3 linked regions of the Drosophila melanogaster genome follow. The main gene of each other region encodes a partner of the protein of the gene in region 3 in a complex. Each region holds a gene or a part of one and is shown on either strand. Other genes may lie near its edges. The genes, in order: Nfs1, bcn92 and fh.

The links.
Region 1: fh (region 3) and Nfs1 share a complex: the UniProt entries of both Drosophila melanogaster proteins name them as parts of the mitochondrial core iron-sulfur cluster (ISC) assembly complex.
Region 2: fh (region 3) and bcn92 share a complex: the UniProt entries of both Drosophila melanogaster proteins name them as parts of the mitochondrial core iron-sulfur cluster (ISC) assembly complex.

What each region holds. Positions count from the first base shown.
Region 1 is NT_033779.5:11,993,410-12,003,987, reverse strand, and holds Nfs1 (Nfs1 cysteine desulfurase), read right to left. Parts: upstream 4,335-10,578; 5' UTR 4,264-4,334; coding exon 4,134-4,263; intron 4,076-4,133; coding exon 2,817-4,075; 3' UTR 2,744-2,816; downstream 1-2,743. Other genes in the region: Hacd1 (3-hydroxyacyl-CoA dehydratase 1), read left to right, coding at 1,837-2,574; Ada1-1 (transcriptional adaptor 1-1), read right to left, coding at 6,094-6,220, 6,285-7,084; Qtzl (quetzalcoatl), read right to left, coding at 7,745-7,986, 8,045-8,174; CG18789 (uncharacterized protein), read left to right, coding at 8,671-8,747, 8,803-9,922; Ada1-2 (transcriptional adaptor 1-2), read right to left, coding at 10,005-10,131, 10,196-10,578. UniProt on the Drosophila melanogaster protein: Catalyzes the removal of elemental sulfur from cysteine to produce alanine. It supplies the inorganic sulfur for iron-sulfur (Fe-S) clusters.
Region 2 is NC_004354.4:2,145,098-2,155,108, reverse strand, and holds bcn92 (bcn92), read left to right. Parts: upstream 1-5,461; 5' UTR 5,462-5,627; coding exon 5,628-5,707; intron 5,708-5,767; coding exon 5,768-5,888; intron 5,889-6,265; coding exon 6,266-6,343; 3' UTR 6,344-6,646; downstream 6,647-10,011. Other genes in the region: wapl (wings apart-like), read left to right, coding at 1-1,995, 2,350-3,192, 3,263-3,432, 3,498-3,586, 3,647-3,837, 3,957-4,232; Pgd (phosphogluconate dehydrogenase), read right to left, coding at 6,721-7,934, 9,396-9,619, 9,695-9,702. UniProt on the Drosophila melanogaster protein: Stabilizing factor of the core iron-sulfur cluster (ISC) assembly complex that regulates the stability and cysteine desulfurase activity of Nfs1 and participates in the [2Fe-2S] clusters assembly on the scaffolding protein IscU.
Region 3 is NC_004354.4:9,141,017-9,150,817, forward strand, and holds fh (frataxin), read right to left. Parts: upstream 8,056-9,801; 5' UTR 7,997-8,055; coding exon 7,679-7,996; intron 7,610-7,678; coding exon 7,355-7,609; 3' UTR 7,064-7,354; downstream 1-7,063. Other genes in the region: CG7065 (uncharacterized protein), read left to right, coding at 1,852-3,931, 4,992-6,607; Bap111 (brahma associated protein 111kD), read left to right, coding at 8,407-9,801. UniProt on the Drosophila melanogaster protein: Promotes the biosynthesis of heme as well as the assembly and repair of iron-sulfur clusters by delivering Fe(2+) to proteins involved in these pathways.

The sequences.
Region 1 (10,578 bases), on a different chromosome or scaffold from region 3:
GAAAGAGAGCGATGAATTTGTTAGCTCGGCTTAAAGAGTTTCGATTATCACTAGCTTTTGCCTTAAACTGCCGCAATTTGTCAGCTTTGGCAATTTCATTGCCGGCACACACACACACACGCACACACCGGCGACCAGTCACATTGAAAACCCCTGCCATTGCGACACTAGCGTCGTCTCGCTCGCACTCTGCCGAATGCCGTTTTGCTGGCATTTGACGGCATTTCGTTGGTCTGCCCGCTCTGGGCGCCTGGTGAAAAAGAGGGAATTCACTTTTGGCGGGGTTCTCGTTTTTCCAATTTTGTCCAATCGGCCTTTGTGGGCGCTGCTCTGGGTGAATTGCCGCTCCGCCCGTCGTACGGAACGAGTCCCGTATAGCAATCGCCGCTGCTGATAAGCCAGGCGGGCGGGCATGCTGGCTATTGCTGCTGCTGATAAGGCGTCGGCTTTTTTAGGGGAGTAGTTAGTAATTTGCGTTAAATGGGCAGCACCAGCAGCAGCAGAAGCAGCAGCAAATTAATTCACAGGGTAGGCGTGGTTGCGGGCCTCCGCCCACATAAAACAAATCGTGTGCAGCAGCACGTGCCGTGTTGTGCCGTCCGGCCTAGCGGCCTTTTGCTTTCGGAACAAAAGTTCCAATTCCGATTGCGAACGAGCTGCGAATTTCGACAACGGCGACAAGCGATTCGCTCCGGCTGCCCATTAATGGAGAGCTGGGGTCGGTCCACAGGCAACACCACACACACGCGACTTGGCAGGTGGGGACGTGCACCGGTCCGTGGTGGTGGCGGACTTTTTCAGACACGTTCGGTTTTCGGTTCGGTTTCCACCAGGCGACCAGAAAGTTTAGCTGCCTTGCTGGCTCATCGCGCAAACCAGCCGTCGTTCGCTGGGAAACGTCAGCTGCCGCCTACAGTGGGCTGCTTTAAGCGAAATGTGGTTAGAAATGCAAAGCGTACAATGGGCTAGTTCTTATCAAAAAAATTGATTTCTCCACCTTGTCGTTAGCGATAAATTTTTATATGTCGGCTCATAACCACCCATTATCCATTGTTCTTAACCATGCTTTACTATACATTAAAGAAAGAATATATATGATAGGTATTAATTTTTACTATAATTAAAAATTATTATAGTTTTACTAATGATACTAAGAATATTTTCGAAGAAATATAAATTGTGTTATTATTTAGTTTATTTACTTTAATTTGTACTAACATAAGAAACGGTAATTCAGCTTTAAAGTAAGTTGATAGGATTTAAAATCATAGTTTTCAAAGAATTTTAACGTTTTGAGACTTAACTTAACTTAAGTGAAATAACTTTGCACATAAAAACGACTTAATTGCTAAGCATGCCTAATGGTTGTGGCATTGTTAACTTAGATTTGCGATCTGTGAATAGAGGAAAGGTTATAAGGCTATGCACTTTGTACCCGTTGACTTTGAAAGAATGAAGTTCATCTTTTATTTATACTCGTTGGAAAAATTGTGAATAGCAAAAAACAAAATTCAGAGAAAATAAAGGCGAATGAAATTTTATATCAAGAAATTTTAATTAAATGATTATTAATTTACAAATGATTAAATGAACAATTTTCGATATCAAAGCGTTTTTATTTATAAAAGATATTATATGGAAGGGTATTTAATAGTTATATATATTTCTTAGCCCTTTTTTTTGGTATTTTTTGTGTGGTCGCCGTGCGGTCATACTGACCCAATCAGGTGAAAGCGACTTCGGAATTATCGCGCTACAGGGCGATAAGACTGTGACGACTGATTAGTTAACCAGCGGCGATCGGCAAGGTGAAAGTTCACACATCTCCGCTCCAACATGTCAGCAAAGGCAGTGTCCAAGTCCAGCAAACCAGGCGCTTCCAAGGAGCCGTCGGCGGTCACTAAATTGTACCTGTTTGCGTACAACGCCGGCCAGGTGGTCGGATGGAGCTACATCCTGTGGCAGCTGGTCAACTACTACATATTGCAGGGTCCGGAGTTCCGTGCCCAGGTGACGTTGTGGGAGTATACTCGGCTGGCCGTGATCATCTTCCAGAATGCCGCGTTCGTGGAGATACTCAATGCTTCTTTTGGATTGGTCAAGTCGAACCCGGTGGTCACTGGCTTCCAGGTGTTCAGCCGCATGATGGTGGTCGTCGGCGTGGTGATGGCCACGCCTACTGGAAAGGTTTCACCCGGTCTGCCCATCGCCCTGCTGGCCTGGGCCATCACTGAGATCATCCGATATGGATATTACGCTCTGAACATCGTCAAGGTGGTGCCGCATTTTGTGGTGTTCCTGCGCTACACCACATTCATTGTCCTGTATCCCATCGGCGTGACTGGGGAGCTGCTGTGCTTCTGGTGGGCCCAGAGCTATGCCCGTGAGAACAGCGTGTGGAGTGTGGTGATGCCCAACAAGTGGAACGCCACCTTCTCGTATTTTGGATTCCTGTGGATCGTCATGCTCGGCTACATCCCCATCTTCCCGCAGTTGTACTTGCACATGTTCGCCCAGCGCCGTAAGATCCTGGGCGGTGGATCCAGCGGCTCACCCCAGAAGAAGGCCAACTGAACCTTGACCAGCGGCGAATGCAAATTATTGCATCATTTGCATATCATTGGCCGTCGCACTTTGAGCCGTTTTCGCTTTTTGGGGTCTCTCTTGCCTCACCTCTTACACAAGCACATTCGTTCGGACTAAGCTTAGTTATAAGTGGTTTTGTGTACAAATAAACCTAGATACTCTTCCAACAAATTTATTTTCCCTTCGCTTTCAAAGTGTGGTGTAACAGTAACGGCTTAAATATTAGTACATTAATGCTGCGACCATTGGATGGTCTTTAGGTCGATGCCCTCTTGGACCATCTCCCACAGCGGCGACATCTCGCGCAGTCGCTCCACATGCTTGATGCACTTATCGGCGGTGTAGTCCACCTCCTCGACGGTGGTAAAGCGCCCGATGCCAAAGCGTATGGAGCTGTGGGCAAGATCCTCGTCGGTGCCGATGGCACGCAGAACATAGGAGGGCTCCAGGGAGGCGGAGGTGCAGGCGGACCCACTGCTCAGGGCCACGTCCTTAAGAGCCATCAGTAGTGACTCGCCCTCGACATAGGCAAACGACAAATTCAGGCAACCATTGTATGTGGCTTTGGCATCACCATTCCTGATGACATGCGGCAAGGCACTTGAAATCCTGTCCAGCAGGCGATTGGATAGAAAGTCCACCCATTTCTTGTCGTAGTCCATCTCACGCAAAGAAAGTTCCGCAGCAGCTCCCAATCCCACGGCGAGCGGGGCTGGAACCGTTCCGCTCCTTAGGCCACGCTCCTGGCCGCCGCCACTTTGGATGGGCTCGAGGCGAACCCTCGGCCTTCGTCGGACATACAGGGCGCCTACACCCTTTGGGCCGTAGATTTTGTGGCCGGATATAGACATCAGGTCAATGTTCATGGCGTTAACGTCCAGCGGGACCTTTCCCACCGCCTGAGCGGCATCCGTGTGAAAGAATACTCGGCGAGACCGGCACAGTTTGCCAATCTCATCGACGGGTTGCCGTACGCCGATTTCGTTATTCACCGTCATAATGGACACCAGCGAGGTCTCCGATGTGATGGTTTCCTCCAGTTGCTGGAGGTCGATGAGTCCGTTGGCCAGCACTGGCAGGTACGTGACTTTAAAGCCCTCGTTCTCTAAAGCACGACAAGAGTCCAGCACGCACTTGTGCTCCGTCTGGGTGGTGATCACGTGTCGCTTCTTAGTGCCGTAGAAACGGGCAACACCCTTTACTGCGATATTATTCGACTCGGTGGCGCCGGATGTGAAGATGATCTCCTTGGGATCGGCGCCAATCAGGGTGGCCACCTGCTCGCGGGCCTTTTCTACAGCGGACTCTGTTTCCCAACCGTAGGCGTGGGTACGGGAGTGGGGATTTCCGTAGAAATTGGTCAGATAGGGGAGCATAGCGTCCAATACACGTGGGTCCATTGGAGTGGTGGCCTGGGCATCCAGGTAAAGTGGTCTACCCTCGGTCTGTTCGTTCTTTATGTTGAATCGCACCTGTCTCTCCCGGAATTCTACGAACGAATACGATTTTGGTAAGCGGTAACTGTGCATCTTGGAGGATCCGCTTACCTTTGGATGTGGCGGCTGGTTTAGCCGCTGTCCTGGAGGAGGTGGCCTCGTGTCTAACCACATTGGCTAATGCATTCGTCGCCCGGGAGCGGAGGACCTGCGCCTGGATGCGTCCCAGCACTTTTTGCATTCTGATGGAATCCTAGAAATTCTGGTGTTAAAATTCGTTATCACGGATTTCACAATCAGTGGGACCGTATTCGGCGGCACGAGATATACCAAAGGACTCCGGAATTCACTTTAAAATTATCTGATTCGATTATGCAGAAGCAAGTTTCTGAATTTCTTTGAACATATGAAAAATGAATAGCATCTGTGCAAGAAACCAATATTTTTCAGATATATTCGCACTTAATGTATAATTTACAAGGAACTATATTTTCAAAAACCAGTTTTCATCTTAAATATGTTTGCTTACAAAATTATCTTAATCATTCAGCGAACTTAAGTTACGAATTCACGAAATTGCGCGCATAGGCACGGTATATTTTTCTCAGTGAGCCATAAAATACTCAAAGAATACTCAATACGCAAAGTAAGACAATTATAAACAAAAGTACAAAAGTTGAAGCAGTTTTGAAATAATAAATATAGGAAATAGGCAAAAATTAAAATCAAATTTAAATATGGTTGTCTGCCGGTTCTTTCAACAAGGCTCCTGCCGCTATGGCGCAAAGTGCAACAACGAGCATTTCGATGTTAAGTGAGTACATTGATATTAAAACTATGCAGATGAACTAATAACTTAATTATTTTAGGCAATATCTCAAAGCCGACATGGAATCCAGCCTCAATGGCAAGATGTGGCCTTTGTCCGCCTACGGACCCTTTAAGGACAAAGCGAATTTCCCCAACTTTATTCAGGACCAATCCTTCGAGGAGGTGCGGTTCATGTGTTACGAGGCCAAACGACAAAACCAATTCGAACAGTTCAGCCAACAGTTTAACCGTGAGGTCCTAGAGGCTAACAACAAGATGAAGACCATGCTTCAGATGTCGCCGCAGGTCCTGGAAATGATGATCAAGATCCACGAGACGCCGGAGGGCGGCACTGTGTCGGCTGCCCCTCAGCAGTCCAGTAATCCCTTCGCTGCAGCAGCTCCGGCTGCCGCCAATACATCTGCATCCATTTTTGGAAAGCCCACGCTGAGTGCGGGAAATATATTTGGGAATGCCACAAGCCAAGCCAGCAACACCAATAGCATTTTCGGCGGAACGATTAGCAATGCCAATGCAAGGAATAGCATTTTTGGTGTAGGAGCTGCGGCAACAGGTGCACAAAGTGTCTTTGGACAGCCACAGCAGCAACAGCTGCAGCCTGCTGCACAAGCTTTCCAAGGGGGCAACATTTTCGCCCAGGCGCAGGTTCAGGTGCAAGCTCAGCCAGTGAATCCTAATCCTTTCGGTGGTTTCCAACAGCAGCAGCAGCAACCGCAGTCGACGGGAATCTTTGGCCAAGCCGCAAGCCAAAATATGGGCGGAATGTTTACTCAGGCTTCTCAGCAACTACAACAGCAGCAGCAGGCAGCTGCCTCCGGATTATTTGCTCAAGCAGCAGCATCTGCATTCCCTAATCAACAACAGATGCAGCAGCAGCAACAGATGCAGCAGCAGCAACAGATGCAACAGCAACAAATGCATCAGCAGCAGCAGATGCAATAGCAACAAATGCAGCAGCAACAACAATTTCAAATGCAACAGCAACAGCAAATGATGCAGCAGCAGCAGCAGCAGCAAGCTCAACCGACCAACGAAATCCAGTCCTCAGTTTACAGTCGCATGGAGGATCTCAACGAGCAGGAAATCGAAGCATTCAAGGCGGATCAATTTCTACCAGGTGCCTTGCCATTCAAACCGCCTCCACGGAATCTTTGCTGAACCAAACACTTAATGGTACACTAGCGTATAATGTATATATTTTTACAGAAGCTGATATAATAAAATAATTAGAACTTATAAGCTAATGCATCATCATATTGAGTCGTTCCATGTTTATGGAGTAGACGGCATGCGAGCCTATCAGGTTGCGATCCCGTAAGGCCAGTTGGCAGTCCTTGAGGGTGATTACTGTGCGTTCGGTGGGTTGGCTGAAAGAAACAAAACCTAAGTTTGTGTTTCACATGAAAATCTCATTATTATTCAGGAGCTTACACTTCTTCGCAGGCGGAGAGGAAGGTCACATCGTCGTTCTGTCGCCGCATAAAGTTGGCCGTATTCAGTTCCTTGTCCAGTTCCAGCGGCGTGTCGTCGACCTTCTGCCGGGTGACGGTGTTGCGCAGCGAAGGATCACGCAACGGAGCACCTACATCGTAGTAAAAGTTTCCCTCGCCGCTGGTCTTGTAGTGCTTTCGTTTCTTGATGATTGCCGATAGTAGATCCTTGAGCAGAACTTGCACGGCCATGGCAACGTACTCGGCGACATTGTCGTCCACGGAGACAAGTCCGATTTCCCAGGCACCGATCAGAAATCGTCCCATAATGAATCCCGCGTCGGGCAGGAAAAGTTCCTGCGCGCAGTACCGCTGCGACTGAAGCTGTTGCTGTTGCTGGTCCGACGGAATACCGATCGTGGTTGGCGGACGAATGATTTGCATGTTGTCCTCGGCTACAAAGTCCAGGACGTCGCTGAGCTCAAAATTAAGGCGTTCGGCGAAGGTGCGGCAACTTCTTTTGCGCCGTTTGCTTCGGTTGCCACTACTGCTGCTGGTCTGGACGGCCGGAGGATTCTCCAGGGGAGCAAAGGCGTCGATCTTGTTGAGCAGGGCGAGCAGGAACTGATTGTGCAGGTGCAGTTTGTCAGGTGTTAGGATTTTCCGCGACTCCGCATCGAATTCCTCCTTAGTCCAACGGCTCCGAAACCAATTCTTCATGTTGGCCCGGTAACGCTCCCAGTTGTCGCCCAGAGCCACCACTAGCGCCTCCTTGGTGGCCAGAACTCTGTCGGTAAGCATTTTAGTATTGGGAATAACAACTAAACAGGAAAATCCAACTGTTTGCGAATTGCTATATAAACAAATGAATGCAGCTGATTCGAGTGACCGTTCAAAGAACGGCTGAAAATACCAGATACATTTGAGATAAAAACCGTTATTTTTGAAGAACCCTTTAAAAAAATATTGGTTTTAATCTTTAGTGTTCACAGTTTTTATTGTGTACAAGTTAGTTAGTTAAAATATAAACATTAAAGATAGAGCCCACGCCATTCACACAACATAAGATGATAATATTTGCGAAGCTATTTGATCATTAAAAAAGTAATAGAATAGAATAAATATCTTGGTTAATGTTAAAAAATTTAACATAATTTAACATAAATTGTCAATACAATGAGTATTGTATATAAATGCTACGCATAAGAACATACTTAATATTGAAGGTAAACATTACACTGAAAATAACTATGGTTACATAAATATGGTATCGGATTTAGAAGGATAAGGAAAATTCTTTTAGCCTAGAAACACTCATCCTAATTGACGCGATCCCATCGCCACACGGTGCTGTCGTCGCACACGCAAACTAAAATGGAACCGTCTTTGGAGAAGGAAGTCTGTCGGATGGTGGAGTTGCTTTTGGGATGAACCAGCTGGCTACACTTTGTTAAATTGGGATCATTGCAGTCCAATTCCCAGACAAATGTTGTGCCCAGTTGATTGCCCAAGGCCAGAATCTTTTGCCAGGCGTTGAAGGCGAAGCGTACGAACCAGATTTCCGTAGAAATTGGTCAGATAGGGGAGCATAGCGTCCAATACACGTGGGTCCATTGGAGTGGTGGCCTGGGCATCCAGGTAAAGTGGTCTACCCTCGGTCTGTTCGTTCTTTATGTTGAATCGCACCTGTCTCTCCCGGAATTCTACGAACGAATACGATTTTGGTAAGCGGTAACTGTGCATCTTGGAGGATCCGCTTACCTTTGGATGTGGCGGCTGGTTTAGCCGCTGTCCTGGAGGAGGTGGCCTCGTGTCTAACCACATTGGCTAATGCATTCGTCGCCCGGGAGCGGAGGACCTGCGCCTGGATGCGTCCCAGCACTTTTTGCATTCTGATGGAATCCTAGAAATTCTGGTGTTAAAATTCGTTATCACGGATTTCACAATCAGTGGGACCGTATTCGGCGGCACGAGATATACCAAAGGACTCCGGAATTCACTTTAAAATTATCTGATTCGATTATGCAGAAGCAAGTTTCTGAATTTCTTTGAACATATGAAAAATGAATAGCATCTGTGCAAGAAACCAATATTTTTCAGATATATTCGCACTTAATGTATAATTTACAAGGAACTATATTTTCAAAAACCAGTTTTCATCTTAAATATGTTTGCTTACAAAATTATCTTAATCATTCAGCGAACTTAAGTTACGAATTCACGAAATTGCGCGCATAGGCACGGTATATTTTTCTCAGTGAGCCATAAAATACTCAAAGAATACTCAATACGCAAAGTAAGACAATTATAAACAAAAGTACAAAAGTTGAAGCAGTTTTGAAATAATAAATATAGGAAATAGGCAAAAATTAAAATCAAATTTAAATATGGTTGTCTGCCGGTTCTTTCAACAAGGCTCCTGCCGCTATGGCGCAAAGTGCAACAACGAGCATTTCGATGTTAAGTGAGTACATTGATATTAAAACTATGCAGATGAACTAATAACTTAATTATTTTAGGCAATATCTCAAAGCCGACATGGAATCCAGCCTCAATGGCAAGATGTGGCCTTTGTCCGCCTACGGACCCTTTAAGGACAAAGCGAATTTCCCCAACTTTATTCAGGACCAATCCTTCGAGGAGGTGCGGTTCATGTGTTACGAGGCCAAACGACAAAACCAATTCGAACAGTTCAGCCAACAGTTTAACCGTGAGGTCCTAGAGGCTAACAACAAGATGAAGACCATGCTTCAGATGTCGCCGCAGGTCCTGGAAATGATGATCAAGATCCACGAGACGCCGGAGGGCGGCACTGTGTCGGCTGCCCCTCAGCAGTCCAGTAATCCCTTCGCTGCAGCAGCTCCGGCTGCCGCCAATACATCTGCATCCATTTTTGGAAAGCCCACGCTGAGTGCGGGAAATATATTTGGGAATGCCACAAGCCAAGCCAGCAACACCAATAGCATTTTCGGCGGAACGATTAGCAATGCCAATGCAAGGAATAGCATTTTTGGTGTAGGAGCTGCGGCAACAGGTGCACAAAGTGTCTTTGGACAGCCACAGCAGCAACAGCTGCAGCCTGCTGCACAAGCTTTCCAAGGGGGCAACATTTTCGCCCAGGCGCAGGTTCAGGTGCAAGCTCAGCCAGTGAATCCTAATCCTTTCGGTGGTTTCCAACAGCAGCAGCAGCAACCACAGTCGACGGGAATCTTTGGCCAAGCCGCAAGCCAAAATATGGGCGGAATGTTTACTCAGGCTTCTCAGCAACTACAACAGCAGCAGCAGGCAGCTGCCTCCGGATTATTTGCTCAAGCAGCAGCATCTGCATTCCCTAATCAACAACAGATGCAGCAGCAGCAACAGATGCAGCAGCAGCAACAGATGCAACAGCAACAAATGCATCAGCAGCAGCAGATGCAACAGCAACAAATGCAGCAGCAGCAACAACAATTTCAAATGCAACAGCAACAGCAAATGATGCAGCAGCAGCAGCAGCAAGCTCAACCGACCAACGAAATCCAGTCCTCAGTTTACAGTCGCATGGAGGATCTCAACGAGCAGGAAATCGAAGCATTCAAGGCGGATCAATTTCTACCAGGTGCCTTGCCATTCAAACCGCCTCCACGGAATTTTTGCTGAACCAAACACTTAATGGTACACTAGCGTATAATGTATATATTTTTACAGAAGCTGATATAATAAAATAATTAGAACTTATAAGCTAATGCATCATCATATTGAGTCGTTCCATGTTTATAGAGTAGACGGCATGCGAGCCTATCAGGTTGCGATCCCGTAAGGCCAGTTGGCAGTCCTTGAGGGTGATTACTGTGCGTTCGGTGGGTTGGCTGAAAGAAACAAAACCTAAGTTTGTGTTTCACATGAAAATCTCATTATTATTCAGGAGCTTACACTTCTTCGCAGGCGGAGAGGAAGGTCACATCGTCGTTCTGTCGCCGCATAAAGTTGGCCGTATTCAGTTCCTTGTCCAGTTCCAGCGGCGTGTCGTCGACCTTCTGCCGGGTGACGGTGTTGCGCAGCGAAGGATCACGCAACGGAGCACCTACATCGTAGTAAAAGTTTCCCTCGCCGCTGGTCTTGTAGTGCTTTCGTTTCTTGATGATTGCCGATAGTAGATCCTTGAGCAGAACTTGCACGGCCATGGCAACGTACTCGGCGACATTGTCGTCCACGGAGACAAGTCCGATTTCCCAGGCACCGATCAGAAATCGTCCCATAATGAATCCCGCGTCGGGCAGGAAAAGTTCCTGCGCGCAGTACCGCTGCGACTGAAG
Region 2 (10,011 bases), 7.0 Mb from region 3:
ACACCATCTCATCTACATCAACTGCACCAGCTGCATCCGCAGCGAGGCTCCGCGGTCATATCACCAACCACTCGATCCGATCACGACTTCGACTCGCAGTCCTCGGTGCTGGGCAGCATCTCCTCGAAGGGCAACAGCACGCCGCAACTGTTAGCGCAGGCTGTGCAGGAGGATAGTTGTGTGATTCGCAGCAGGGGATCTAGTGTGATCACCAGTGATCTAGAGACGAGTCAGCACTCCTCGCTGGTGGCTCCCCCCTCGGACATTGAGTCACGACTGGAGTCCATGATGATGACCATCGACGGAGCGGGAACGGGAGCAGCATCTGCAGTGCCGGAGACACCACTGCAGGAGGACATACTGGCTGTGCTGCGAGGGGAAGTGCCACGGCTAAATGGCAATACGGACCCGGAGCCAACCGAGGAGGAGGATCAACAGCAACAGCCGAAGAGGGCCACGCGTGGCAGGGGCAGAAAGGCCAATAACAATGTGGATGTAACCCCACCCGCCACGGAGACCAGAACCCGAGGTAGGGCCAAAGGAGCAGATGCGACCACGGCTGCCATATCGCCACCAACGGGCAAAAGAAACACGCGGGGCACCCGGGGCTCCAGAAAGGCCGAGCAGGAAGTCGACATGGAAGTGGACGAAACGGCGATGACGACGGTGCCAGCGAACGAGGAACAGCTGGAACAGGCCACACTTCCACCGAGGAGAGGTCGCAATGCTGCTGCCCGAGCCAATAACAATAATTTGGCAAGCGTTAACAATAACATTAATAAAATAGCCGCCAATTTGTCAGCCAAGGCCGAGGCCAGCCGACTAGCAGAAGGCGGAGTCGCGGGTGGAGCGGCACGAAGCTATGGTCGGAAACGAAAGAACCAGCAGGTAACGCAGGTGCTACAGCAGGAGCCAGTGCCCGAAGAGCAGGAAACTCCTGATGCTGAGGAGGAGCAGCCCACACCCGCCAAGATTCCGCACACAGATCACAGGGAACATTCGCCAGACCATGATCCGGATCCTGATCCGGATGAACTGTCGAACAACTCAAACAACTCCTCGTTGCAGCACGATGGGTCCTCCTCCTCGCCCCCACCCCGCGATTTCAAGTTTAAGGATAAGTTTAAGCGAACATTGACACTGGACACACAGGGCGCGGCGAACGCCGGAGCGGGAGGAGCAGCAGCGGCGGCGCCACCTGAGTCCTCTGGCGAACAGCGGGGCGCTGTCAAGCTGGTCATCTCAAAGAAGAAAGGCAGCATCTTCAAAAGCCGCGCTCTGGTGCCATCCGATCAAGCGGAACAGGCTACAGTGGCCAAGCGACATCTGTACAAGCACAGTTGGGATGCTGCGCTAGAAGCGAATGGCGGTGGAACCAACAGCGATGCCAGCAATGCCTCGGCATCTGGCGTGGGCGTCGCTGGGGCGAAGGATCATCTGCATCATTTAGCGGCGGGCAAGTCCGATGGTGATTTCGGTGACAGTCCGTCGTCGAACAACAATGGCTCCTCCAGTGCGTGCAGCAGCGCATCCACGTTGCGCGGCGATAGCCCGGCCCTCGGAAAGATCTCGCGACTGGCGGGAAAACAGGGAGTACCTGCCACCTCCACTAGTTCCGATGCCTTTGACCTGGATTTGGAACCAATTGCCGGAGAGCTTGACCTAGAGCGTAGTGCAGCTGGTGCTTCCGCTGGTGGAACAGGGGCAACGACAGGCGGAGGTGGAGCGACGGGCGGTGGCGGCCCCGTTCGGGTCGACCGCAAAACTAAGGACTACTATCCAGTGGTGCGTAACGTTAAGACGGCCCATCAAATTCAGGAGATCGGCGAGTACCAGGAAATGGACGACGACGTCGAGTACATCCTGGACGCACTTCAGCCGCACAATCCCCCGGCAACACGGTGTCTCTCCGCCCTTCAGCTAGCCGCCAAGTGTATGATGCCCGCCTTCCGGATGCACGTGCGTGCCCATGGGGTGGTCACCAAATTTTTCAAGGTAAGTTAGATCCCCAATTCTTACATATATTGAGCTCCAAACCGCCTTTGGGCGCTTGGTATTTGCATAGTTTGATTATGCAATTGAATCTTATCAAATTCAAAATATCAGCTTTCGGCAAAGCTGTCCCCAGAATAGCCAGTTTGTTTTGAAAGCTGTGTTGTTATTTTGTTATTCTGTATTAAAAGCCTGTATAAACTATTAAACCATTGCAGTTGTACTTTAATCAACTTGGTAATGTTTTCCACTTTAAATCAGTACAGTTTATTGATTATTTGCAAAGTGAATAACAAAAAAAAAAGTTTTAGGAAAAGTATCAACCTCTTTGTTAATTAACTGACTATTTAACTGTAGGCATTATCCGACGCCAACAAGGACCTCAGCCTAGGCCTGTGCACCTCGGCCATCATGTACATTCTTTCCCAGGAGGGCCTCAACATGGACCTGGATCGCGACTCCTTGGAGCTGATGATCAACCTTCTGGAGGCGGACGGCGTGGGTGGCAGCACGGAGACTGGGCACCCGGATAGAGCGGGCTACGACCGCAACAAGCAGAAGGTGCGCGAGTTGTGCGAGGAGATCAAGGCGCAGGGCAAGGGAACGCATCTCAACGTTGATTCTCTGACTGTGGGCACGCTGGCAATGGAAACGCTGCTATCGCTAACATCCAAGCGCGCGGGCGAGTGGTTTAAAGAGGATCTGCGCAAGCTGGGTGGCCTGGAGCACATTATCAAGACCATCTCGGACTTCTGCAGACCGGTGATTGCCTGCGACACGGAGATTGACTGGCAGCCGACGCTGCTGGATAACATGCAAACGGTGGCGCGTTGTCTGCGAGTCCTCGAAAACGTGACGCAGCACAATGAGACGAACCAGCGCTACATGCTCACCTCTGGCCAGGGAAAAGCAGTGGAGACGCTTTGCCAACTGTACCGTCTTTGCAGCCGACAAATAATGCTGCATCCTTCGGATGGTGGTGGCAGCAACAAGGAGCATCCGGGTGTGGCTATGCGCGAGCTGCTGGTGCCGGTGCTCAAGGTACTGATCAACCTGACGCACACGTTCAACGAGGCGCAGCCATCGTTGGGAGCCGAGCTGCTAGGTCAAAGGGGCGATGTGGTGGAGACGAGCTTCCGATTGCTGCTGCTCTCGGCCAACTACATTCCCGACCAATGTGTCTTTGAGCTAAGCATACTGGTGAGTGTGAGATTTATATCTTTTCGCTTCACAAGTAACCAATTTCAAACACTGATTCCCACCTCTCCAGGTTCTTACACTGCTAATCAATTTGTGCATGCATACTGTGCCCAACCGGGCTGCTCTAATGCAAGCTGCCGCTCCGGCAGAGTACGTAGCGGATAATCCACCAGCGCAGGGATCTGTGAGTGCACTGCAAGCTCTGCTTGAGTACTTCTACAAGTGCGAGGAGCTGGCTAGGTAGGACACATTAACAATTCTAGTCACATTGTCGCATTGCTTTATATTATGTTTCACGCCCGCAGATTGGTGGAAAAGAACACGGACGCCTTCCTCGAGAGCAACGAGAAGGGAAAGAAGAAACAAGAAGAAGTGGAGGAGACAGTCAACAATCGTGAGTATTTAGCGGTTTGATGATCTGTGACCTATGCTAATTGCCGGGCGGTTTTGACAGTTGTGCAACGAGCCGGCCACCACATGGAGCACACGCTAAAGGGAAGTTATGCGGCCATCCTGGTGGGAAATCTGATAGCGGACAACGAGTTGTACGAGTCGGTGGTGCGCCGCCAGCTGCGAGGAAATAGCTTTAAGGAGATTATTGGAGTGCTGGAGAAGTACCACACATTCATGAACCTTACATCCAGCGTGAGTCTCATAATATGTCATACATTTTCAGTTCAGATCGATAGCTTAATCCATCTTACCCTTAATCCATCAAACTGCACAACCTTCTAACTCGTTAACGTTCTCCACCATTTGTATAGTTGGAGGCAGCCTTTGTGGCGCATATGAAGTCCACGAAGCGCATCATCGACAACTTTAAGAAGCGCGACTACATCTACGAGCACTCGGATGAGCACGACAACCCCCTGCCTCTGAATCTGGAAACGACGGCGCAAGTCTTGGCCGTGGGAGCGGACGCGTCGCATGCTGCTACAAGCTCGACCACGGTCGGCTCTGGCTCCGCACCCTCATCCACATCGGCCACAGGAACGACGAGGGCGCCGCGGGTCTATAAAACGTACAGCAGCCACAGGTAATCGGACCTGGGATCTGAATCGGAATCGAAGAGCCATCGCAATTGTCGTTAACCACACCGAAAGCCTGCCACCAAAATAAAATTCTGTTGTTTGTGATTATGTAATTTGTTTATGTGTTGATATAACAATCACTACATGTATGTGTATAGCCTGTAATGCACCTAGTTTCAGTCAGCTATATATATATAGATATATATATATATAGAAGTATATAGCTAAGAGCGATAGGATACAATGCGATCTGTTTTTGCGTTTGTATTAACCCAAAGTGATAGCGAATTCCTGAGCATGGTCTGCGTTTTAACTAAAGAAAATGATTAAGATTGACGAAACGAAAGCGACACCCCGAACAACACAAAGATCCAAATCCCCACTAATATGAGTACGTTATATAGTCATAAGCAATATTAGCAGCTAAATGTCGGCTTACCCTCGAAAGCACACACCCATGTAAATATTCTTTAATCAGCGATTTTATCGGACGCGTCTTAGGTTTATTTCGAATGTGTTTTTTTTTTACCTATTCATACTTTATATATTAAACCTTTTTTTTATTGATTGTAAAACAAGCGCTCTTAGCAAAAACGCTGCAGCAGAAAGAGCGAGAGCGATAGACATGTGTAAAGAGAGAGTTAGAGAGGAAAATTCTAGATTAGATGTGGGAAATAAAGTTATTTTATTGCCTAAACGTAAGCTAAAGAAACTCTACTTATAAAACTAACACTGATAAATAAATATATATATGTATATGGATATATGTGTACGTTTACAACCACTAAAAATGTCATTTTTAGGCTACAAAAGTCAGATTTAAAAAGCAAGCGCGCGTGCAAGAAAGAAACAATTTCGGGAACAAAATATATATATTTATTTTGTGTTTTCAACGAGTACATAATATATTGTTCTTGCGGAAAAAACAAACAGAATTAAAACTAAAATTGAAAAAATGCGGCAGTTGTCTTATTTTGTATAATGGGAGCAGGTTAATTTGGTTTTTATTTTAATATTTACCTCTAAATATTTCGGATTCTTAATAAATTATTTTTCTGCACTATGAACTCAATTTATTTCTTACTTTTTGCAATAATATTTAGTATCACAAAAATAGTTTTTTTATTCAGTTGCGATGATTTCCGCACGACGCAGTGTCATCTCTAAGACTCACGCACGTGACACCACAGTGAATGCAGTCAGCTGTTTCTGGTATTTTGCAGCGGAAAAGTCAGTATTTTCCGGCTTTCCGCATGTAATTTTTATGTCATCAGGCGGTCAATTGGCAGTTGCCGCACCGAAACAAGAAACCAGGGTCAAAACAAAGCACTCATCAATTAAACAGCACTTTAATCCACCAGCCCGCCCGCCATTCAGTTCCATTCGGCCAGGATCAAGACCAGGATGTCGACCCGTCGCCAGGCGATCACGTTATACAGGAATCTCCTGCGCGAATCGGAGAAGCTGCCCTCGTACAACTTCAGGTAGGTGTTGTGAAATTGAAAGGCCGCCGCGAGTGATGAGCAATCTATTCCGGATTTCAGAATGTACGCTGCCCGAAAAATACGCGACACATTCCGCGCCAACAGGAGCACCAGGGACTTCGCGGAGATCGATCGCCAAATGGCCGAGGGCCAACAGAATCTGGAGCTGATACGTCGCCAGGTGAGTGGTTCGTCGGATTTCACCCCTCTCCCTTATCAGCAATGCTTGAAAGTATCCAGATAACGTAAGGCATTCCGTCTTCGAGATCACAGCGCATCCAAAAAGAGCCGTCGTTTATTTACCAAGTTGTTAGGAACTCAAATAATTAGTGGTATAAAAATACTACTATCAACTACTACTTCCCTTATCAAAGACAATCAATTTAAAGATTAAAAATATTAATGTATATTTAAAGTAGATTTTATCATATATATCTGATTTTGCAAATATGGGGAATGGAAAACTCAATTACCATCCTATTAGAAATCGAAAGTAACCATTTTGCCCCTTTTTCGCTTATCAGCCGGTTGAGTTTATTAACCTTTGAATGTCCACAGGTAATCATCGGCCACCTGTATTCCGCTGACAAACTGGTTATAGAGAACAAGAAGACCCTGAAGCCCTCGGACGACTAAGGGAAATACGGAGCGAAAAACGCGCTAGCTGAAGAGAGTACAATAGCAGGGAAGGAGCGGTAGAAGGAGCAGGAGGCGTCTCCAGATGAAGACACAACTCGAAAGACTCGACCCACACACAACACAACACACCAAACCACACGCATTGTTGATTTTAAATGGCACTTGCATTCATGAAACTAAGGAATCAAAATCATTTGCTAGCAAAAAAACACCAATTTAATGTTATGTTTAACAACAATTATGAAATTCTATATACATACATATATATTAATGGTATAAATAAGTACTAAAGTACTCCAGAAAAAAAAGAAACATCTAAGACACCGGCGCCAATGACATGGAATGTGTGAACGGGAAAGTGGAGCAGGTGGAACCTACGCCTGGTAGGTGCTGGCGGACACATTGCCGCCGGTGCCTGTCCAGTTCGTGTGGTGGAACTGACCCTCCTGGCCCAGCAGCTCATAGGTGTGGGCGCCGAAGTAATCCCTCTGGGCCTGCAGCAAGTTGGCTGGCAGCTTGGCCGTGCGGTAGCCGTCGTAGAAGCTTAGGGCGGTAGACAGGGCCGGCACGGGAATGCCCCAGCGGAAGGCATTGGCCACCACCTCGCGCCACGAGTCCTGGCCGCGCTCGATGGCCTTCTTGAAGAAGTCGTCCAGCAGCAGATTAGACAGCTCCGGCTGCGACGTATACGCGTCCTTAATGTTGCCCAGAAAGACGCTGCGGATGATGCAGCCGCCGCGCCACATCAGCGCAATGCCGCCGTAATTAAGTCTCCACTTGTTCTCCCTGGCCGCCTCTCGCATGAGCATGAATCCCTGGGCGTAGGACACGATCTTGGCGCAGTAGAGAGCGTGCTTGATGTCGTCGAGGAACTTGGTGAGGTTGGCCACTTGCGCCTTGGTCGAGGGTCCCTTCAGCACGCTGCTGGCCTGGACGCGCTCGTCCTTCAGGGCAGACAGGCATCGCGAGAAGACCGCCTCGCCAATTAGCGTCACAGGCACTCCATACTGCAGAGCAGCGATTGCCGTCCACTTGCCCGTGCCCTTCTGGCCGGCGGTATCGCGAATCCGCTCCAGCAGATAACCTTTGCCGTCCTTGTACTTAAGAATATCACGCGTGATTTCAATGAGGAAGGAGTCCAGTTCGGCCGAGTTCCACTTGCCGAACTCGTCTGCCATCTGGTCAGCCGACAGTCCCAGGCTCTGCATGATGTGGTACGCCTCGCAGATCAGCTGCATGTCACCGTATTCGATGCCGTTGTGCACCATCTTGACGAAGTGACCGGCGCCTCCATCGCCCACCCACTCGCAGCAGGGTTCACCGTCGGCCTTGGCGCAGATCGCCTGGAAGATGGGTTGGATAAGGGGCCACGCGGCCTCGTGTCCGCCGGGCATCAGCGAGGGTCCGTGGCGGGCGCCCTCCTCGCCACCGCTCACGCCGGATCCGACGAAGAGCAGGCCAAGTTTGGCTAACTCGTCGCAGCGGCGAGATGTGTCCTGATACTCCGAGTTGCCACCATCGATGATCACATCGCCGGCGGAAAGCAGCGGCACCAGCTGCTGGATGAAGTCGTCGACTGCACTTCCAGCTGAAATTGTATCGAGATTACATCTGATTAGCGTAAAGTCGATTAAAGCAGATCGAATTCCTCATCGGGGTTCTCAAAAGCTCAACTATCGTAGACTCATTTTCCAAAGCGTTCTTAGCTAGCGCCAGTTCTTTTAACGTAAAGAAATCTTCGATTTAGCCAGAAAGTAGAGCGTGCGATTGGACAAGGTCGGTTGGTTGCTTTTGGAAAGTCACTGTTTTGGAGGTCACCCTGGTGGCGAGGCGTCCCTAGCGCCGGGTGAGCAGTTCTCCAGCGCAGTGGACCCAGATAAGGCCAACGAGTCGTGGCGATACTACCATTGATCTATCTATCTAGCGGTCGTTGGTGGTGGTTTGTGGGGCACACTAGCGGTCAAGATTGTTGGACTCGCTCTGTTCAATGACCAACTAGCTTTTTGTGTCGTCATCCTTGATAACTTAACTACACTGATAATCAATAACCTTTGTCCTTACTCCCACCCACCCTGTGAATGTGGGATTCGCACAACCTGTCACGCAACTTTCAAATCTACATATGTTCAGCACAAAAACCTCCAGAGCTATGTACATATGTTATTGACCCGCACTGTATTCTTCTAAGGAGCAGTCTCCAGACGAAATGACTCACTGGCCTGGCAACTCGCAGAAGAGGAATATGTAGGTTTTTCGGCTGGTCAAATCCGAGTAAATCCACCTGAAAATCGCCCATTTTGTGTGACCTATTATGAATGTCAAAGATTTCTCTCTGCGCCGCGTTGTTGTTGCTTTCGCACGAACAGATAAGCCGGGCACGCCGATCTAGAGGTGAGCAGAGTTTCGGACACGCGAGAGTGGTAGACGAACGCGTGAGTGACCTGGAAATCACCTGATGGGTTCGCTCGATGGTTTAGGTAAGTGGAGGCAGCTTACCACAACTATGTGATTAGACAAAACTCACGCCACACTTGTGGTTACGGTTTTCGAAATGGGACTGATCCATTTATAAACCTTTTATCAGAAGTCCGGTTTTAAAAGAGCTACAATGCTTAAGTTTCGAATCCTATAAAGAGCTTTGAATTCTGTCTAGTTTTCAAGTCAAAACTATCGCATACAAAACCTACGAAATGCCATCCCTATCATTTGTACAAAAAGAACTCCTAACCCAGACTTAGTGGTTAAGGCCGCAGCTCAATGATCTCTAAACAGTTGTTTTTTGTGTTTACTCCACCCCTTCACCGTTTTCTCGCGCTCCCTCCTCTTCCTACTTCCACCTGCTTATCCTATCTCGTTCCCCTTTGCACATTGGAATATGAGCCGCAAAAATCGTCATCATGATTACTTTGCTTCGACTTTTTCACCAATTCACAAGCACGCGCGCACACATGTAAGTTGAGTCACCAACACAGCGATCGCTTGCAGCAGGTTTCAATGGGTTTTCGATGCTCTGCGCTACCCAGCCGCTGAATTTGGATATGCAACTCACCCTTGACCAGCAGCATGACCTTCCGGGGGCTCTTCAGCTTGGAGACCATGTCCTCGAGCGAGTCGGCTCCAATCACTTTGGTGTCCTTAGCCTCATTGGCGAGGAACTCCTTGACCTTGGCCACCGTGCGGTTGTAGGCGCACACCACGAATCCCTTCTCGTCCATGTTGAGTATCAGGTTTTGGCCCATGACGGCCAGGCCGATGAGGGCAATATCCGCTTGTCTGGAAGAAATCCGGAAATGGGCGACGTTAGGATCGCGGAAAACTCCGGGGAAAAGAGAATTTCCCTCTACTCACCCGCTCATGTTTCGTGTGTTCTTTGTGGTTTGTGCTCCAACAATGATTTGAGCTTCTAATGTTACAATCTATATATGGCACTGTTAAGCGGCAGCTCGTCGATCGATAGTCGCGCCACAATGTTAGCTATCGATAAGTGCAGAAAAGCTCCACTCGCGAAGCTTTCGCAGGGCGGCAGTTTGACTTTGAACTTCGGAGTTTGAAGCTATCGCCGATCCTTGACCAATTACTGCCGGTTGGTGCTAATTTTGTGAGTGGACTCTAATGAGTACTGCTACTAAATATAGTGCTTCGTAGTGTAACAGTAAATGCAAAGA
Region 3 (9,801 bases):
CCACATCCCACTCCCAATCCCACTACTCGTCCTCATCCTCATCCTCATCCTCGTCCTTGGCTACATCCGCATCCACATGAAGCGCAACTTCGCCCACTGTCAAATGCACCGGGGCGGCCTTCAAAAATGGGGTGGCATATACTCACACTCGCATTCGCATTCGTATTTTATTGTCTATGTGCGCATATGGTCAGCTCATTGTGCAGTCAGTTGTATTGCCATTATCATCTGCGACAGCCATATCAGTGTGCTCATCGTGCGGCGATTAATGCGCCCTTCATCCACTCCCAGGATACGTGTTACATCTATCACACATATCGCGCACAGTGCGGCCTCGCTAGAGCGGAAATTGCCAGCCATCTGGTAAGAAATTCATGGAAAGAAATTCTAGCTACATACAGGTGCTCAGTAGAAGTATGCAAGCATATACGCTAGAATTCCCTGACTTCACATTAGGGTGGTTCCACTGCACAGCCCAGGGCGGTTGGGATGTGGGCTCGGTTCGTGGAAATCGCTGAAAATGTGAAAAACCGCGTCCCGTTCGCTGACATTTGTCCTCGGCGGCCGGCAAACCGGCAAACTGCACATGTGGCCAATCCCTTGGGACCCAATGATATTAATGCTCCCGCTTCAGCTGGAAAATACCTACATACATACATACATACAGTGAATAAAAAATAATGAACGGGAGCTGGGATTGATTTAAGCCAGCTGCGGCGACGCCATCAGAAACACATCCAACATTGAACATCCCACATCGCAGAACCAATCCATAGAAGTCCATCATTCTTGCGGCGGAGGCGAGAACAATTTGCACTCGGCCGGAGATTATGTTTCGGGTGAAAGATAATGACTCCGCATATCCACACATGTAAATATTTATGGGCTCATGAGCAGAAACACAAGAAGTGTGTGTGTTTTTTTTTTTATTTTTTGCCCAAATGACGAAAGCATGTTTTCCATGTCACACTGAAGTTAGAAAATATAAGCAAATATTCGAAATAAAAATCCATTAAATATTAACGAAATATATCCCTAACCCTAAAGGCTTTAAATTTGATTATAAAATAAAAATTCTAAACGAAATCAATATTTTACCATTACCAAAATAAGATTATTTGAATCCCGCATTGAAAAAAAAAAATTTTGGCCTTATTTGCCTTATTAAATCCACAATAGAACTAAGGACAAACCACTTTCAGTTGGAAACAGTTATTTGGAATTTTATACCATTTTTAATATTTTGAATGCAACCAAACGGAAATTGGTATAAAAAATGTGAAAGCGCGTTTAGAGCCATATTTCCATTACAGCGCTCTGAAAAAAAACAACAATACTCTATGTATGGATGTAAATATTCTGTTAATAATCATAAAAAAGAATTGGTTTTTTTTTTGTTTCACTTTTAAAAGTGCTGGCAAACAATCGATATATTCAGCTATCGTTGGCGTTGTTATCGCCCGAACGACGGACGGTCACACTGGAAAGCTGGAAAAAGAAAAGAAAATTGTCAAAAAGGCTTCGACTTGGACTCAATTTTCGTAACAAGTGATCAACGAAGCTGGTGGATGTCAAAGACGTAGATAAATAATCTAAATTACCTAACGCAGCCATAGTAAGTAACGATAAGCACGCGGGCATAAGCCGCCCCCTTTTGTCGATAAGTGAACGCGAATGCGAAACATTCGTGTGCGCAAAAAAGTGAACAAGAAAATTGGAAAATCAGAAGGCTTCGCTTTGATACGGAAATAAAGTGAGAGACAGACCAAGGTAAGTACTGATCCTAGACCATTTTCGTTCATTGGCGTTCTCTTCTTTTGGCCTGATGCCCATACCCATCTGCAGGAAACGATGAGCTTCCTGCCGGGCGAGCCGGTACCGCCCGGTTTCGAGGAGGACGTGTCCCGCACGGCGGTCATTCAAAAGCAGATCGAGAGCTACACAGCCGGACCACTGATCGGCACCGAATACACCATCGAGCTGCACGAGCCGGCCCAACTGCGTCCGAATTACTTCTGTGTGCTCTGCCAAACGTGCTCGGATGGACGCAACGTCTTTGTGCACTGGACATCGCAGGCGCACCGCACCAAGTACCTGCAAACCCATTTCCAGAAGGCCTACAAGGAGCTGCAAAAGCTAAAGCGCACGCCCAACAGCTCTGGGGATCTGGTGACTGCCACTGGGAATTTGGTCAAGTGCATTGAGAAGCATTTCGGCAGGTCACGCAATCTAATAACTGCAACTGGTGATGATTTTCGCCGTTATCGCTCCAAAATGTGCAGTCAGGTGCGGGATAGCTTTCATTTCGATGAGTGTGCCGGATCAGATTTTTCCGAAGAAGCTCAGCGCGTGATCCGCGAACTCAAACCGGATGAGTCCATCAAGAGCAGCATGAAGAAGAACGTCGACGGAACCGGGGATAGCAACAAGCAGCATGATGATGGAAATATAATTGCCTTGGATGCCATATCCAGTGATGATGAGAGCTTTGGCGGTTCAACAGCTTCGGTTGTCCCGGTGCCAAAGGGGCGACAGAAGAATAATCTGTCGGAAGATGCCGGCGGGCGTAGTAAAAATCAATCGCCACCACCTGCAGGTGGCGTGAACAAAACGCAGCATTTGCCCACGCCCAAGGAGCTGGCCATTCAGGCATCTAAAATTTCCCAGGAGCGCTACAAGTGGGAGAAGTTCCGTTGCATGCTGGAAATACAGCTCAAGCAGCTGCGCAGTGATACAGAGATGTACGAATCAAATCCCGAGAAACATCCCGATTATCCGGATGAGTGGAAACAGTTCTGGAATCGACGCTACAAGCAGCTGCAGGAGGAGAAGAAATGCGATCCGAATCAATACGACTATAAGCCGGAGTGGATTAGCTACTGGAAAGATCGTCGCATCGTACTGTTCGACATTGCGGTGAATAAAATAAAGAAAGATCTCAAAGAGAAGTTCAAGCTGGGCGACGAGGACGAAGAGAAGACCTTGGAGCTAATGGAGCGCTACAAGATCCGTGTGGCCAGTCCGCGTAGAGCGCCTGCCACCACCAATTCCGACAATTGTCGCAAAACGAAGCCGAATTTTCGCAACAATCGTCCGATTGTTGCGACAAGCAAACTACCCGACGCCGTCATCGATATCAGCGATGATGATGTTGATAGTCCTCCATCTCGTAGTCGTCACTCCCACAAACGCCGCTCCATCTCTCGTTCGTTGTCCCCCAAGCGCGGCGGACGTCGTGCCGTGCGTCGCTCACGCAGTCGTTCGCCGCGTCGCAGCTATAATCGAGGATCTACGCGCTCGCGTTCGCGCAGCATGCGACACCGGTCTCGCTCGCCGGCCCACTATCGTGGCCGCGGTCGTGGTCGTGAACCAGCATCCAAAGAGCGCGGCTCGTCGTCCAGGGATTTCGGTGGTCGTCACAGTTTGCAGCGTGAGCGCGAACGCTCTTCCGAGTACTATCACCGCAACGAGGGCTATGCTCGATCATCGCGCGGCTATGAGTCTGTGGAGACGTTCCGCGTGCTGGATTCCCGCGTATATCCCGAGTACAAAGTGACCAAGACGAGCTCGATTTCGCCCACCGCTTCGTCCAACAAGGAGAAGGAGAAGGAGGCATCGGAGCCCATTGAGGAGGGACCACTGACTGTCGTTAGTGTCTTGCGCATGCTGTCCGCCGTCGAGGAGCATCTGGGCAGCCTGGGACCCAAGGCGCTCAATTTGCTTAGCAAGGCACTGGCCATGGAGTTGGTAAAGCCAAATGCAGCTGAAGATTTGCTGCGAAACGAAGACAACTGTGTGTTCCTCGAGACCACAAAGGAGAAGCTTAAGGGCATTCTCATTGCCGAGGTACTGGACGATCCGCAAAAGGTGCGCGTGATCAAGAAACTAATCACGAACATAGCCGAAATCATCTATCAGGCGACCTTCAAAGGTAAGTCCACCACCAAACCCGCTCAATCCGTATCCGTCTCTCTCGCTCTTTTTCGCGGTCGCGGTTAGAAATCAGGAGGTAAGTAAACCAAACAAATCAAATCAAAAAAAGGGTTACCCATCGGAACAATCGTTCGTTTTTCGCGCGTTTTCAACGGCTTTTTATGCAAAGTTGCAGAGTTTATTGTGAGTTTTGTGCCATTCGGTGGAATACCTTTAGATTCTTCATTCGAAATATTTCTATTCTCCTTTTTCGAAAGGAACCTTTTTTATGTGCTGGTGATAAAGAAATATATACATATGTACATTAGATACTCCCCACTTTAGTCTACTAAACTCTGCGGTTAAACATTTAGTTACGTTTTAAGTTTAGCACCTTATGAAATAAAGAATCTTTGACTTTGGCTGTTGTATGAATTGGGATCACAATCTCATTTCACATTTCTTCTTTCTCACTAAAACATAAACGAAATCTTCTGAGCGAGTATTTTTGAAATAATACAAAATAGCGCTGTGTTTTATTACCATTTTAAACAATATTATAAGTATACATATATATATATAAAGCGTGTTCTGAATTGCTGGTCTTGTCTCTGCAATTCGTAGGATTTTTCGAATTTAAGAAACCTATTTTTAAGACCTTTACTTTGGGTTCAAAAAGGGTTAAATTGATATTAAAAAGACCTGCTTGCAATGAGAAACATAAATGGTCATAAGGTCTTCCTTCTATGTTGTATTTATGATAATATAGTAATTATATCGTATATTTGGATAGACTCTTTGGTCGAATCGCTGGTGATATCGTTCCTAATCGTTTTTCGGTAAGCTTTCCCTTATTTTTGCTGGGTGTGTGAATCAAGTGTAAAGAAACCAACCGTGAGCTGTCCAATCGCCATCCACACCATCCATAAGTATAAATGTAATTTGCGTAGCTTCGTGCGATAACGATCCTCCATCTGCCGGGATCTGAAACAGAAACACACTCTCACCTGTTAATCCTAACTGATTGATTTCTTTGTGTTGTTCCCTCCCCAAACCACCCGTAACCGGATGATCTCTAGGTACCAACGATGCCGTCGATGTCAAGGTTAAGGCAAATGCCAATCCGGCGCCCATACAGCTGCCCTTCGATCGCAATTTGGTGGCGCCCAAATTGGCCAATGCTTTGGTACTCAACGGCTACAATAATGTGTCCACCGGCGATATGAACAACTTGCTACACATGCTAACGCTGCTGATGAAGACGGACAAACAGCGGCGCCAGCTGGACAACAACAACGGCCTGAAATTCGAGGAGATAAAGGTAAAGCTCGGACTGCAAAATAATCCGTCGCCCGATGACATGGGCATCGATCTGGACGAGCTGATGAAGGAGGTGGAGCATCAGCTGCACAAGGAGTCCGTCGATATTGTGAATAAACCTACGGGAGCACCGGCCAAGGTACAAGCCGCCGATACAGTCGGTGGCAGCACTGGCTTGGAATCGCTAACAGATTCAGATCTCCAGACCCTACTCCAGAACTTTAAGTTTTTGTCGAACGAGGAGCAGGTTCATCTCATTGGCCATCTGCGCAAGTTGGAGGTACAGGATCCGTCGCGCGTCGATCGTCTGCGCAAGTATGTGAATCTGGTGGAGCTCCGAGGCGATGGCGAGTCCTGCAGTGATTTCCTGGCGCGCGTGGTGAAAATTGGTGGGGCTAGCAAGGCGAAACCGGCTACCAAGTTCAAGGCTTCGGTTATGGGTGGTAGAACCTCCTCCGCCATGGCCGCCAGCTCCGCCAGTGCCACGGCTCCGAAAGTGGGTCACTCCATGCTGAGCGCTCAGCGCCCCAATTTGGATCGTGATATGTCCAGTATGCCCATCAATAAGCAGAGACGCGGCCGGAACACGCCCAGTATCATGCTCGATGACGATGACGAGGAAGATGATGATTACAACTTTGATGATTTGGTGATGAAGGCCTGCGATTCGAATGGAAGTGCTAGTGCTGGTGGTGGTGGTGGTGTCGTTGGTGCTGGTGTACACAATAAGCCAGGAGTGCCGCCCATTATAGGCGTTGAATCATCGCCAAATGCGCTCACTTTCAAGCCAGCAGCAGCGACCAAGATTTCGCTAAAAGACACCGAGAACATCATAGCCAATCTAATGGGCACTTTAAGCAAGAATGGCACTTCTGGAGGTTCACCCGTGGGTGGCAATCGCAACTATATGATGAACCAGCAGCATGGAGCGCCAAATGCGCAGAATGCACCGAATTTGGGTCAGAATCCAGGCCAAAATCTTGGCCAAAAGCAGCCCGGAGCGGGCTATTCCAATGCGGGCTATCCAGGGCAACAGCAGCAGCAGCAGCAGCAGCAGCAGCATGGCCGCAACTTTGGCCAGGAGGCACAGCCACTGATGAGCGGCTTGAGCGGCGGACCGAATGCCAATCACTATCCAAATCAGCAGGGCTACGGCGGCTATCATCCGTTTGCGGGCAATGGCGTGCAGCAGAACTACGGCGGCATGGTGCCACCAGGTCCAGGTGGCTACGTGGGTCCGCCCCCTAATCCGTGGGCCAGCAATGTGCCGCCACAGCCGCCCTTCAACCAGATGCCCCAGAACTTTATGGGTGCCCAGCAGCAGCAGCAGCAGCAGCAGCCGCACTTTAACAACATGTTCGGTGGACGTCACTAGAGTGTCGTAGACTTAGATATCCATACTATTAACGTTATGCAATTTAAACGTAATGTAGAAACGAGAATAACGCCCTTTGAAGTGCCCGTGTATCTGCTAGCTGGCAAGTGATTTTTATTATTTTTTTTTTTACCATACATGTGTGCTGCTGCCAAAAAAAAGAAAAGAAAATAATCACTACCTTCATTTGTTTATAAAACACCGAACAACAATAGAATTCAGAAAACATAAATCTGAAGAGCACGTGAATAAACATACACAATAATTCCGGAAATCAACTTTAATCGACTTTCGTTTGGAATTATTAGCTGGGGGAGCTTTGAGTTCTGAATTCTGTGTATTGAAATAAAAATAAACGAAATGGAACGTACAAGTGACAAATAATAAAATAAAATAAAATATGTATAGCTACATATGATGTTCTTCAATGGTGATTTGATTATTATTATTTGATTTATACATTAAACAACTGATTTTTAAGTTTATTCCTCTCAAAAACAACAAATTTAAACTTCGAAACCAAAACTAATCGTACATAAATGAATAAGCGAATGCAAAGCATTTATACCAGAAGCTAAGCTTCACAGCTCCAGGGAAGTATAAGTATATACCTTTGCTCATCCGCAGCAGCAGCAGTTCCATGTATATCGAGTGACCACTGTGCCAACAGATGAAGAACAATAAATATATCAAAATCGAACGTTTCAACCGACTTTTTATGGAGGAGAATTTAAACTAATCACGGAATTAACTACAGTAGGGCAGGCGTAGGAAGTCCACGGACTGTGACTTCAGTATGCCGGGTATCTCCTGCTGCAACAGTTCGTGCAGCGACTGACCACTGTGCTTGTAGATCCATCTGCCCGCCGCCACAGTGCCGACGAAATCGTATCGCTTGGGACCGCTGGTGGGCGAACTGAGCCAGATCTGCTTGTTGGGCGTCTGCCGGTTGATCACATAGGTGCCGTGTTGTCCTCCCAGGTTCACGGTTAGCACGCCATCCTGTGGAAGCGGAAACCCCGCGAGGATTAGCAGGTCAATGGAATGATGTAATAGCCGAATGTCACCTACGCTGTAAGCCACATCCGTGCCCTGCAGCTCGGAGGCGTTCTCCGTCAGCTCCTCGAAGTAGTCGCACAGTGCGTCCAGGGTGTCGGAGCACACACGCTCGTAGGTGGCGCCGTCCAATGTGGATTCCGTCTCAATTTGACTGCTAAACAATCGCCGGTTGGCAGTGAATTCCTCGCATTGAATAGCAACTGCGGCTATCGCTGGTGTGCTGGGCAGGATCACTTGGCTGGCGTGTGCTTGGGGCTTTGACCACCTGCCCATGGTGGCCAAGCATGCCCGACCAACGATCGAACGGACCATCAAACGACCGGCAAACATTTTTTAGTTGTTTACGATTTGTTTATATTTTACAAATCCCAGTTGCGGGGCTGCCAACTTAATGGAAAATGATTTGCCGTTGGTATTTTCTAGATTCTAGTGTGGTATAATTTTTGATTTCTATAAAGCTGAATAAAAATGAGAAGTTACAGATTTTTTTTATTAGTAGCAGCAATTCAGCTAAAGTGTTCTGCTAGTTTTAGGTAACTAAAATTTTGTATATTCTCTAGCAGTTACTATTTCCTTATCATATATATTCCGCTATATATACCAATTCCCGGCTTATATGATTTTTCTTAGAATCAGATACGGCCACACCTCCACCAACGCCGACAGAAAATGGCGTCTGTCTGAAAATTGTTATTTCTCTTGGAAAATCCATACAAATTTGACCAGCGAATTGCACAAAGATGGCCCTGCCAAGCAACTACAAGCAGATAGCCGTTGGCGGCCAGGGATCGGCCACACCACTCCAGGGCGGCGGCGGTGGCTCCGGCGGCGGCAGCCGGTCGCGTTCATCCGGCGGCGGAGGTGGTGGCGATCGCAACAAGGATCAGACGCCCATCTTCACGCACAGCAACTATGGGAATCCGGCATTCACGCCACAGAAGGTAACCAAGTCGTCGAGCAGCAAGAACCAGAACGAATCAAGGCTACCCAAGCCACCAAAGCCGCCGGAGAAGCCCATTTTGCCCTACATGCGGTATTCGAAACGCGTCTGGGATAGCGTCAAGGCGAAGCATCCAGAGCTGAAGCTGTGGGAGCTGGGTAAGAAGATCGGTGCCATGTGGAAGTTGCTGCCCGAGGATGAGAAGACGGAGTTCATTGACGAATACGAGGCGGAGAAGCTGGAGTACGAGAAATCGCTAAAGGCCTACCACCAGACGCCCGCCTATCAGGCCTACATGTCGGCCAAGAGCAAGGTGAAGACCGACGTGGATATGCATGAGACACCGTCACGCGGTGGCGGCAGTAAGTCGCAGCATGAGCGACGCATCGACATTCAGCCGGCGGAGGACGAGGATGACCAGGACGAAGGGTATACGACCAAGCACTTGGCCTACGCCCGCTATCTGCACAACCATCGCCTGATTAACGAGATATTCTCGGAGGCCGTTGTACCAGATGTGCGTTCAGTGGTGACCACCACGCGGATGCAGGTGCTCAAGCGGCAGGTCAGCTCGTTGACGATGCACCAGACCAAACTTGAGGCGGAACTGCAGCAGATGGAGGAGAAGTTCGAGGCCAAGAAGCAGCGCATGGTGGAGTCCAGCGAAGCCTTCCAGGAGGAGCTAAAGCGCCACTGCAAGCCGGCGGTCGACGAGGAAACTTTCCAGAAGATGGTGCTTCGCATGTACGAGGACATCAAGCGCGATCGCCAGCGATTGGATGAACCGAATGCGAATGCGAATAGCGCAGCGAATCCTGCTGCAGCTGCCGCTACAGCTGCCGCCGCTCCAGTGACGAGGAGCGAGGAGGCAGTGAAGCCGCCAACGCAGCCAGGTCAGCCCGCTGCCACACCCGCTGGCCAAGAGCCGGCGTCGGCGGTACCAGCGCCAGCAGCTCCGCCCAAGGAGACACCGCCGGCTGTGAAGCCCGCTACACTCAATCCCACACCGAGTTCAACGCCTACGCCGGCGCCAGCGGTGCACGTGCACGAAACTGCCAGCAAAACGGATCCCGAGCCCATGGACATTGAGCCACCGCCGAAGCCATCGGTTCCGCCGCCACCCATCAAGCCAGAGAAGCTGGAGATGGCCGCTGCCCTGCCTCCGCAGTCAACGCTAGTCGAGCCACCCAAAACG